Canis lupus familiaris: one gene and its partner. The protein of the gene in region 1 purifies or fractionates together with the protein of each later gene. This does not show direct contact. Links are inferred from orthologs where the notes say so. Each region holds a gene or a part of one and is shown in the gene's direction. Other genes may lie near its edges.

Region 1 (6,360 bases):
GGCTCCATATGGAACTTGATCCCAGGACCTCAGGATCACACCCTAAGCAGAAAGAAGGTAGAAGCTCAATCACTGAGCCACCAAGGCATCCCTGAATTGTAGTTTGAAATGCATTCTAAAAACCACCTCTCGGGATCCCCGGGTGGCGCAGGGGTTTGGCGCCTGCCTTTGGCCCAGGGCGCGATCCTGGAGACCCGGGATCGAATCCCACATCGGGCTTCCGGTGCATGGAGCCTGCTTCTCCCTCTGCCTGTGTCTCTGCCTCTCTCTCTCTCTCTTTCTCTCTCTGTGACTATCATAAATAAATAAACATTTAAAAAAAAGAAAAAATAAAAAAAAATAAAAACCACCTCTCTTGGGATCCCTGGGTGGCGCAGTGGTTTGGTGCCTGCCTTTGGCCTGGGGCGCGATCCTGGAGACCCAGGATCAAATCCCACATCGGGCTCCTGGTGCATGGAGCCTGCTTATCCCTCTGCCTGTGTCTCTGCCTCTCTCTCTCTCTCTCTCTCTCTCTCTCTCTGACTATCATAAATAAATAAATAAAATTAAACAAAAAACCACCTCCCTCTAAATAAAATGCTCCATAGAGTTTTGTTTCGGCTGTTAATTCTCTCACCAGTAAAGGTAAGAGGACTCACTATCACTTTCAGAGAATATACTTCATCACCGAAACTCTACAGCAAGGTCATTTCTGTATCCAGCTGCATCACCGTTCTAATCAACTAATGAGAAACAGAGCCGCTTCTCATGATCACAGGTCAAGATTTCACCCAGGATCAGCAAAGCTGGATTCAAGACTGCTCTTCTTTCAACTCTCTCAGCGTGTGCTCACCACTTCAGATTCCTGGGAAGACTTACAAAATGCAAAGTATCATTAAATGAAGGACCTGATGTTCCTAGAGGAACCCTAGAATTGGGCCTTTCCATGGGCAGATCCGGAGAAGGTGGGAAAAGGCAGAAAAGGAAAGGGAGGAATACGCCTGCGTGTCTTCAGTGTGCTGGGCACTTCCCCATCCGCAGCAGTTGCAGTCTGCAACAGTATCCTCATTTTCCATAAACACTGTTGTGATTACTTAGATATATGATATGTGATTACATTCCCAGCTACTGTTCTGAACCCAAGAGAGTGCACTCAAGCTGGCAAGTAGGTTTTTAAGGACTTGTCTGGCAAATGCTTACCCACTGCAGGGATTAAGGGGCTCACTAAGCACTTGTCCATTGACACAATGGCTGTCAATCAAATTCTATTGATTCCTCTAAAAGCTTCTGGAGTTCAGGAGCTACTCAATCCAAGAGCACTTTACTTTGCGTCCAAGGAGCTAAATGCCAACCTGGTTCACACAGCCTCTTAACCTTCCTGGTACAACCTCTTTATTTGGCTTATGGCTAAAATACTTTTCCCACCCCCAGCCGAGTCCTCTGGACTCTCCTCCGCCAATTTCGGGTAAGATTTGCGTTAGTTTTTGCAAACCAGAGTCTGGGGCACGCTGACAGTGTCCCAACTCTGCTGTTCCCTCAATTTCCTCTGGCTTCACCGGGGAAGCTCCAGAGCAGTGCCAGGTCTAGAGTGAAAAGAATGAGGGGCACCAAAGAGGTGCCAAACAACTCAGTCATCAAAGCAGACCATTTTTAGTGCACCATTTTTAAAAAGTCAAAAAGTATGGCAAAACTCCATGATGAGCAAATTCTCAAAATTTAAAATACAGGATCGCACCCTGCACTGGCAGGACCCTGCCTCTACGGCCTCACCCTACTCCCAACCCTGGGGCTCCAATTCAACTTAATTAACAGAAACAGGCGACAGGCGTAGTCTGCCCACATCCTTTTTAGAGACACTGCATTAAATATTATTTCTGTTAGTTGCCGAGATTTTGTCGGCGTCCCCTTAAATACTGCAGAGGTCTCTAGGCGGGCACGCCAGGACCTCACCCGCCCTCCCCACTCACAGGGCTCTCCCGGAGCCCAGCTGCCGGGCCCGGGTATCCCCTGGGGCCGCCGGTCCCGGGGCCAGGTCAGGTGCCACGGCAGGCGGCGGGCGCGGAGGGCGGCCCCGGCCCGACTCACGGCTCCGCCCCCCGCGCGCCGAGCCACTCAGCCACCCGCCGGCCCGCGCGCTGGGGCTCGGCGCCCGCCCCGGCCCGCCCCGGCCCGCCCCCGACGCCGGCCGCCCGGGCGCCGGCTCGCCCTATATAAATCGGCCATTTGTGTCGCTCCGCCCCAGAGTCCCGGAGTCCCAGCCGGTTCCTACCGCAGTCCCGCAGGCGCCCGGCTCGTTCCTTTCAATATGACAGATGCCGCTGTGTCCTTCGCCAAGGACTTCCTGGCGGGTGGAGTGGCCGCTGCCATCTCCAAGACGGCGGTCGCGCCCATCGAGCGGGTCAAGCTGCTGCTGCAGGTACGTCCCGGGACTGGAGAGTCCGACCCAGGAAGTGGGGGAGGGGGCGCGCGGAAAGCCTCTGTTCCGGGGCTGGAGGGGGGCCAACTCTTCGGCCTGACGGGCGGCAAGCGGCCCGGTGCGGGCAGGGGTGGCGGAGGAGGCGGGCCGAAAGGCCAAGTCGAGGGAGGCGCTTTAGTGACCCGAACTTCTGGAGCTACGACGCGGTCGGGGCGCAGGGAGGCGAGGGGGCCCAGGGCCTTGGCATCCCGGGGACCGCGAGCTGGGAGGGGGCGGCCCGGCAGTGGCCGTCTTCCCGGGGCGCGGAGGGCAAGGGCGAAGCCTGGAAGCAGGTGCTGGAGGGAGGGACGCCCGGCCGTGCGGAAGGCCTCAAGGTCGCGGCAAGGGGATAACGGGCTCGCGGAGGCCATGCGGCAGGTCGAGGGGCCGCGCTGCCGGCGGCCGCGCTCTCCCCACGCGGGGCCGGAAGCCGGCGCCGGGAAGCGCGTGTGCCTGCTGCGTCCGCCCCCGCGCAGCCGCCGGCGCGTCCCCGCCGCCCGCCTCCCTGCGTCGCGCTCTCGCCCGCTCCGGCTCTAGAGGGCGCGCCCGCACGGGCGCAGGGGTGGTGGCCCGCGGGTCACCTCTAGGAGAGAGCAGGGGCGGAGCCGGAGGGAAGCAGCTCCCGGGACCCGAGGCCTAGGACACGGTCACCTCGGTGGCCGCGCCCTACGTGGGACAGGCCCAGGTGCCTCTGAACCTGGTCCTGAGGTAATGACCTTTCTCCCAGGTCTAAAGGTCACGGGTCCGCCCCAGCGTGCCCCCTCCCCACCCGAAGGGGCGGAGGCTTAATGCCTTCTAAGGGTGCTGAGCACTTCCTCGGTGATGGCCTCAGAGGGTTAGGATCTAGAAGATTAGATTCGGGAAGTAGCAAACCTTAAAGCGCGGTCAGCGAGACAGGATAATACTCTTCCTTTTTCCCCTTCTCCGTGGTTGTAAATCTCCCTGTTGGCCTCCTTCTTGTCTCTCAGGTGCAGCACGCCAGCAAGCAAATCACTGCAGATAAGCAATACAAGGGCATTATAGACTGCGTGGTTCGTATTCCCAAGGAGCAGGGAGTCCTGTCCTTCTGGCGTGGTAACCTGGCCAATGTCATCAGATACTTCCCCACCCAGGCTCTCAACTTCGCCTTCAAAGATAAATACAAGCAGATTTTCCTGGGTGGTGTGGACAAGAGAACCCAGTTTTGGCGCTACTTTGCAGGGAACCTGGCGTCAGGTGGCGCCGCTGGGGCCACATCCTTGTGTTTTGTGTATCCTCTCGATTTTGCCCGAACCCGTCTAGCAGCTGATGTGGGCAAAGCTGGAGCTGAAAGAGAATTCAGAGGGCTCGGTGACTGCCTGGTTAAGATCTACAAGTCTGATGGGATTAGGGGCCTGTACCAAGGCTTTAACGTATCTGTGCAGGGTATTATCATCTACCGAGCTGCCTACTTCGGTATCTATGACACTGCAAAGGGTAAGCTTGCCATGTGCTTCGAAGCTGTGTTTCTTTCATCTAAAAGATCATTAATACCATTCTCATTTTCCAGAGTCACAGATTTTCTGTAATTGCTGTAGGAAGTCATGGTCACCTAGTGCAAACTTAGTGTACAGATGAGATGTGGGGATGGGGATGGGGTGTAGAAATCAACAAGCCACTGAAACTCTGCTTTCTAGTAAAAGCATCTTCTTTCCTGTCCTCAGGAATGCTTCCAGATCCCAAGAATACTCACATTTTCATCAGCTGGATGATCGCACAATCCGTCACAGCAGTGGCTGGGTTGACTTCCTACCCATTTGACACTGTTCGTCGCCGGATGATGATGCAGTCAGGGCGCAAAGGAAGTAAGTTCCACTTGAGCAAAAAGATAAAGATGCGGCCCTTGACAGGCTGTGGCCACAAGCTAGTGATGCCTGACTTTAAAAATGCAGTCTGTTCTAATGGCCAGAATGGGGTTGATTGTGTCCGCCCCTCTGTGGGCCCTTTGGATGCCTATGAATGAGGGTGCTTAAATGATAATAGAGGTTAAAACCAATAAGTAGTCTACATACATAGCCCCATTGTTCTCTATTCACTCCATTAATATTTCAGGATCGCCCACATGAAATGTGCAAAATGTTGGGTTTCCTAGAACTACCATTCATTCTTGGAGGCGGGGCTCCAGTTTAGTAAATCCTGGGACTCTCCTCAGCCTTTGGTCACCAACTCCGTGTCTTTATTCTTTGCAGCTGACATCATGTACACAGGCACGCTCGACTGCTGGAGGAAGATTGCCCGTGATGAAGGAGGCAAAGCTTTTTTCAAGGGGGCATGGTCCAATGTTCTCAGAGGCATGGGTGGTGCTTTTGTGCTTGTATTGTATGATGAAATCAAGAAGTTCACATAAGTTATTTCCTAGTTTTTCCCCCTGTGAACAGGCATGTTGTATTATATAACATATCTTGAGCATTCTTGACAGACTGCTGGCTGTCTGTTTATCAATGGCAACTATTTACTGGTTGAAAATGGGAAGCAATAATATTCATCTGACCAGTTTTCTCTTAAAGCCATTTCCATGATGATGGGACTCAATTATATTTTTTATTTCAGTCACTCCTGATAAATAAATTTGAAGAAATAAAAAATATCTGAAGTATATTTTGTTTCTGACTTAATTTACATATTCAAGCGAGTGCTACATTTGAGTAAATGTTACATGTTTAATAAATGCTATAGTACCTCCTGAGGTAGAGAGCTTTCTTTTCAAACCAGTCTCTTAGCCCTTCACTTCTCAAAGAATACCTTGCTTGTGTGACCCATCAATATTCCAATACAATAGCAAGAGGAGGGACACCTGGGTGGCTCAGTAGTTGAGCATCTGCCTTTGGCTCAGGTGGTGATCCTGGGGTCCTGAGATTGAGTCCCACATCAGGCTCCCTGCATGGAACCTGCTTCTTCCTCTGCCTATGTCTCTGCCTCTCTCTCTCTCTGTCTCTTGAATAAATAAAATTTTTTTAATAAATATTTTCTTACAAAAAATAGCAAAAGGAAATTCTGGCCCAGTGTATCCAAAACCACAAGTCCATTGCCTGTGGAGGATCATAACTGAGCTTTCTCCAAAAAGGACTATGTACCCACCTTTCCAGGTCCTGTGATTATTAATCAGGAAATGTAAACTAAATTGTTTACTTTAAAATGATGGTTGTATGGATTTTATCTAAAGAGGAAAAAATAATAAAATATAAGGTAATAATAGCAACATTTCATCCAATTGCCTTCCCTCATTCATTTTTTACCTGGCCCATTCCATTTTAATCCCATTCAAAGTAGAGGATTAGAGCTGGCACTGTTTTGCAGTGCTGGCCAAGATTACAGAGGGAGCGAGACAACTGCCACCACCTCAAAACTCATTCCATAAAGAAGAGGAAATGTAGCCACTGCTGTGTTTTGTCAGACATGCTAATAAGCCTGGTCAGTGGAGGACATTTATTTCTTTTGGATAAGCCCTTACCCGGGATCCACATGAGAAGTGGTTTACAGTTTCTGTAGCTCCTGGCGAGGCCCCAGAAATTCAGTGGATTTCGCCTGTAACCTGAGGTTTGAAGAACAAAGCCATGGCTGTCAAGAAGTAACCCTGGAAGTAGAATGATGGGTGATCCGTGAGTCCAGGTGAAACCCATTGCTGAGGAACAGCACCCACTCTGGCATGTTTAAGTGCAGCTCACGGGCAGGGAGGGTCTGCCTGGTGGGGAGTCAACACCAAGGGAACCTAAGGGAGGTGCTCGTTGCACACCCCCTGGCTAAGCACCAGGATCTCAGTATGGCTCTAGTTAAGAACACTTCACAATGTACACTTATATCAAGACTTCAAGTTGTAGACCTGAAATATATACCATTTTTAGATGTTAAAGATCTCTAAAAAGCTTTTAAAAAACGAAAGCTGTGTTGTGGTATCAGAGAAGCCTGGA
Region 2 (5,658 bases), on another chromosome or scaffold:
CCTATTGATGGAAACCGTTTTCCTTTATGCTCAAGTAACATTTCTAAGGCAAACCTGTGGCAAACCTGTAATGAGAACATAGTCTAGAGGATAATTTCCCAATAAATATATTGTTGATGAGGCTATAATAAGGATGAAGGGTGTTGGATTGATTTGTTAATTGGAGCTGGGGAAGGTTTAACATTCATTGATTGCAGAGGATCTCTATAATATTTGATTTGCATTCACTCTCTTAATTTTTTTTTTTTTTTGTGGAGGAATGGTTGCCCTACTGGGCTTCTGGTTACAGGGCTTCTAGTAGAGAAATCAGGTGCCCTGTTACACTTGACAACATTAAATTGTTTTGATCATATCAATAGCAAAGAGACACAAAATGCTTTAAATTAAACACTTTTCAGAGAATGAATTCTAGTGATTATTTACGAGTTTAAATCTTTCAGATTTTGACAGTGAAAGTGGAAGGCTATCCAAAACATCCTAAGGGAATCATTTCACGTAGAGATGTGGAAAAATTTCTTTCAAAGAAAAAGAGATTTCCAAAGAACTACATGTCACAGTATTTTAAACTGCTAGAAAAATTCCAGATTGCCTTGCCAATAGGAGAAGAATATTTGCTGGTTCCAAGCAGGTAAACCTAAACTGGAAATTCACCATCTATTATATGTTTTAATTGTCAAAATAACTTTGGTTTATGATAAATGTATTAATTTTTTTGCTTCTTGTGTACACTCTCTACTGAAATGTAACATTTATTTTTAATGAAAACACTACATTTGACACTTCAAAGGTATAGTAAATGATTTGTTTTATGTATGTAATTACTGTTTGGTTTACCACTACTTGAATTACTTAAGAAAGGAAAATAGTGATATGTGTGTGTGTGTGTGTGTGTCTTTAAATGGTACTGAGGGAGTTATATTAGGTTCTGGAGGATAGTGCGTTTTCATCAGAATTTATTTTTTAAAGGATTTATTTATTTATTTATTTATTTATTCATTCATTCATTCATTCATTCATGAGAGACACACAGAGAGAGAGGCGGAGACATAGGCAGAGGGAGAAGCAAGCTCCTCAGGGGATTCAATCCTGGGACTCTGGGACCATACCCTGAGCCAAAGGCAGATGCCCAACACTGAGCCATCCAGACGTCCCTCATCAGATGACTTTATGGCAGTGAATTTTCAGAGAGTGGCAACACAATGAAGGCCTAAGTTCTAGCTCTGTATTATAGAAATTTTTCTTGTTGCTTTATAGTTTCTTATTGCTGGGAAATGTTATAAGGTATATGACATTGAAAAGTGCAAATTGCATTGATTGGTAGATGCTATTCAATTCTAAAAATACATGTACACTTTTTTCTAGGACATGACATTTTTTCGAGTTTTATATAATCCCTTAAAACCTGTCTATGCATAACTAATTGTAATAATTTATTTATTAGTATAAATGGGATTACTGAAAAAAAATGCATCTGAGCATGTATTTGAATTGACTAAATAGCCATTGAATTTTTGAAGAAGGAAGGTCATGTAGCAAAAGAACATTATAAAAACGTGCAATTGCCTACAATATTTATCTTCGACTCATTGATTTTAAGTAGTAAAGCACTCTGGTTAACATGGTTGGGTAAATTTTTATGTAGCTATGTAATGCTGATACCCTTTTCTCTTTAGTTTGTCTGATCACAGGCCTGTGATAGAGCTTCCCCATTGTGAGAACTCTGAAATTATCATTCGACTATACGAAATGCCTTATTTTCCAATGGGATTTTGGTCGAGGTTAATCAATCGATTACTTGAAATTTCACCTTACATGCTTTCAGGAAGAGGTATGTATTTAATGAAGTCAATATTTGAGAAGTTAGGGGGGAAGCATATTAAAATTGACATGTCATTTTCACAGAGTTCATGTATTTGTAAGGCCACTGAAAATCAGAAAATAAGCTTATAGGACTTCAGAGTAGCCAGGATAAGGACACATAGGCTCATTTAAGTTCATGCAGTTTGTCAAGAAGGAAATTTCTTAAGTCCTCACTCAAAGCGTATTTGTTTTTATTTTAGACACATTTATAATAAGTATGAATATCTTGCTTTCCAAGCTAGAGTAGACTAGAAGCAACAGTTTTAGAAGGTAAGATTACTAGGATTCACTGGTGTTAAACACATGCACACGTGTAAACCGACACACACAAATGAACAAAGAAAAATTACAAGTGACTATCACTGCAAAGCCAGAGAGTCTTAGTTAACAAAAGTAACAGGTTCTGACCATTCAGACCATTCACTGTAAAGACTTAAAAGCTCTCTTGCTGTGCAATTCCTGAGGGATTTATATTTATATTTATATTTATATTATATATATTATATATATTTATATTTATATTTATTTATATTTATATTTATATTTATTTATATTTATATTTATATTTTTTATATTTTTTATAATCTTTTTGATTAAAAATGGGTCTTTAGGGCAGCCCTGGTGGCTAAGCAGTTTAGCGCCGCCTTCGGCCCAGGACCTGATCCTGGAGACCTGGGATCAAGTCCCGCGTCGGGCTCCCTGCATGGAGCCTGCTTCTCCCTCTGCCTGTCTCTGCCTCTCTCTCTCTCTGTCTCTCATGAATAAATAAATAAAATCTTTAGAAAAAATGGGTCTTTATATTGCTAGCTCCTCCTTCTTGAAGAAAGGGAGAACTAGTGCTCCAAAGGAAAAATATCATTTTGGGGGGCGGGGCAGGGGGGGAGTTAAAAATCAGCTTTATGCATGTGTTACTGTATTTTGAAATAAACCTTATTTTGCTTGCAATTAATCAATATGTAGGTAGTTACATCACATTAAAATAAATCATTCCAGAAGTTTTTATTTTAGTGTGACAACCAACCTCCTTTTAAGAGTTTTAAAAGTTATGAGAATTTGGGGTGCCAGTGGTTCAATTGGTTAAGCAACTGGCTCTATTTCAGCTCAAGTCATGATTTCAGGTTTGTGAGATCAAGCCCAGCCCAGTATTGAACCTGCTTAAGATTCTCTCTCTCCTTCTCCCTCTGCCCTTTCCCACCTTTCACTCATGCACACTCTCTCTTAGAAAAAAAATGGAAGTTATGATTACTTATTTATGATTCTTTTTATTCTATTAAGCATATCAAACTATTTTAACATCATGAATCTGAACTATCTTTTAGGTTACCTACTGGGCATTTTATTTTATTGCCTTGCAAAATTGAGGTTAAAATACTTAATTTCATGCACAATAGATATGAATGAGTAGTTGTGTCATTAACAATTCCAATACTTTGTTTCAAAACATATGTATCTCTATTACTTACTTGTGGCATTTGCAGTGATTTTTCTGCTCTTTTAATTTATGAAGTTCATAATTAATGGATACATTTGGGTCCATTTAAACTTCTTTCAGAACGAGCACTTCGCCCAAACAGAATGTATTGGCGACAAGGCATCTACTTGAATTGGTCTCCTGAAGCTTATTGTCTGGTAGGATCTGAAGTCTTAGACAATCACCCAGAGAGTTTCTTAAAAATTACAGTTCCTTCTTGTAGAAAAGGTAAGGAAATTAATTCAAAACTTTGAATTGTACCACTAAAGAAATATAAACATTTTTTTTTCAAACTTTGTAGTCCCTCTTTCTAGCTTTGCAACAGAATAAGGTTCAGATAGGGTGTTGATGAGCTCTTCTTTGGATCATGTAGGCTGTATTCTTTTGGGCCAAGTTGTGGATCACATTGATTCTCTGATGGAAGAATGGTTTCCTGGATTGCTGGAGATTGATATTTGTGGTGAAGGAGAAACTCTGTTGAAGAAATGGGCATTATATAGTTTTAATGATGGTGAAGAGCATCAAAAAATCTTACTTGACGACTTGATGAAGAAAGCAGAAGAAGGTAGTATTGATGTAAAACTTTCAAATTTTTTAAGTGATCCTTTCAATGTTCAATGGCCTACTGGGCAACATAACCTCAACTATGAAATAAGAATACTAGAACCTACCTCATAGAATTGTTATGAGGATTAAAATAGATGATACATGCTTCCAGAATTTGGCTATTGTAAATAATGCTGCAGTAAACATAGGGGGTGCATATATGTCTTTTTGAATTAGTGCTTTCTTTTTGTTTGGGCAAATAGTCATGGAATAAGCAGAATCACATGGTATTTCTATTTTTAATTTTTCAAAGAACCTCCACACTGTTTCCCACAGTGTCTGCACCAATTTGTATTCCCACCAACAGCATGTGAGGGTTCTTTTTATTTTAATCCCTGCCAACACTTGTTATTTCTTGTTTTCCATTGTAGTCATTCTGACAGGTGAAAGACGATATCTCATTGTGGTTTTGATTTACATTTCCCTGATGATTAGTGTTGTTGAACAACCCAAGTGTCCATTGATAGGAGACTGTATAAAGAAGATGTAGTATGTGTATATATATGTGTGTGTGTATACATATATGTGTGCATACATACACACGTGGGATACACATACATAGATACATACATATATGCACTATATATATAATATATACATACATACACACTGGAATATTACTCAGCCATAAAAAGAATGCTATCTTGCCATTTCCAACAACATGGATGGACCTAGAGGGTATAACACTAAGTGCAGTAAGTCTCAGACAAAGACAAATGCCATATGATTTCACTCTTTAGAACTTAAAACACAGAACAAACAAACAACAACCAGAAAAAGGAAGACATAAAAAACCCAGACCCTTAAATACAGAGAACAAACTATTGATTACTAGAAGGGAGGTAGGTTGAAAGACACATGAAATCAGTGAGTGGGATTAAGAGTACATTTATCATGATGAGTACTGAGAAATGTATATTGTATATCAGTATATTGTACACATGAACCTAATATAACACGGTATGTTAATTATACTTGCATAAAAAATATAATAGGATGATACATAAAAATAATTTAGCAATTTGTTAACCATGTAACAAGTGCCCCCACATATGTGGTAAAAGTAGAGAGTAGATGATTTCTTAGACAGATGTCAGTCTAAGGAAGTTCTGAATTCTAATTTCTAATGAGTGAACCTAGGAATGAATTTGTAACATTCCAAGTGCATAGGTGTTAACTGAACCTTTAACGCTTTATCAGATTTTCTAGAGAAAAATAGGATTGGTAAGAAACCCTAAAAGAAGAATTAGAAATCATAGGAAATATGATTATTTTTGTGCAAATTTATGTATATCCTTAAAAGTTTGTTTTAAAAAAAACGTTTTGTGTACTTTTCAGGAGACCTTCTAGTAAATCCAGATCAACCAAGGCTCACCATTCCAATATCTCAAATTGCTCCTGACTTAATTTTGGCTGACTTACCTAGAAATATTATGTTGAATAATGATGAATTGGAATTTGAACAAGCTCCAGAGTTTCTCTTAGGTAACTACTTTTGCTGGTTTGAGAATAAAAATTAGGATATAATTTTTCCTTTATAATCTAGAAAACATTAAAATATAATTACATTGTCATAGTTTTATTGTCTTCATATATTTGTTATAGTGGTTTTTTTTTTTTTCGGAATGATATACTTGAAAGTAGTGTTACAGACATGGAATTTGCTTTGCATACATTCTCATGGACTAGATTCGAGATAAGAATGGGACTGCCATGGAAGT

Evidence for each region. The genes of interacting proteins can lie anywhere in the genome.
Region 2: the proteins of SLC25A5 (region 1) and LRRK2 purify together in Homo sapiens (co-immunoprecipitation; 3 studies listed by IntAct, with this or other methods). This does not show direct contact. The link is inferred for Canis lupus familiaris from reciprocal best matches to the Homo sapiens genes SLC25A5 and LRRK2.

The regions. Positions count from the first base shown.
Region 1 is NC_049260.1:92,201,360-92,207,719, forward strand, and holds SLC25A5 (ADP/ATP translocase 2), read left to right. Parts: upstream 1-2,196; 5' UTR 2,197-2,284; coding exon 2,285-2,395; intron 2,396-3,402; coding exon 3,403-3,889; intron 3,890-4,116; coding exon 4,117-4,257; intron 4,258-4,641; coding exon 4,642-4,799; 3' UTR 4,800-5,050; downstream 5,051-6,360.
Region 2 is NC_049248.1:33,249,290-33,254,947, forward strand, and holds part of LRRK2 (leucine-rich repeat serine/threonine-protein kinase 2), read left to right. Parts: intron 1-440; coding exon 441-628; intron 629-1,673; coding exon 1,674-1,828; intron 1,829-3,412; coding exon 3,413-3,559; intron 3,560-3,704; coding exon 3,705-3,896; intron 3,897-5,275; coding exon 5,276-5,422; intron 5,423-5,658. UniProt on the Homo sapiens protein: Serine/threonine-protein kinase which phosphorylates a broad range of proteins involved in multiple processes such as neuronal plasticity, innate immunity, autophagy, and vesicle trafficking.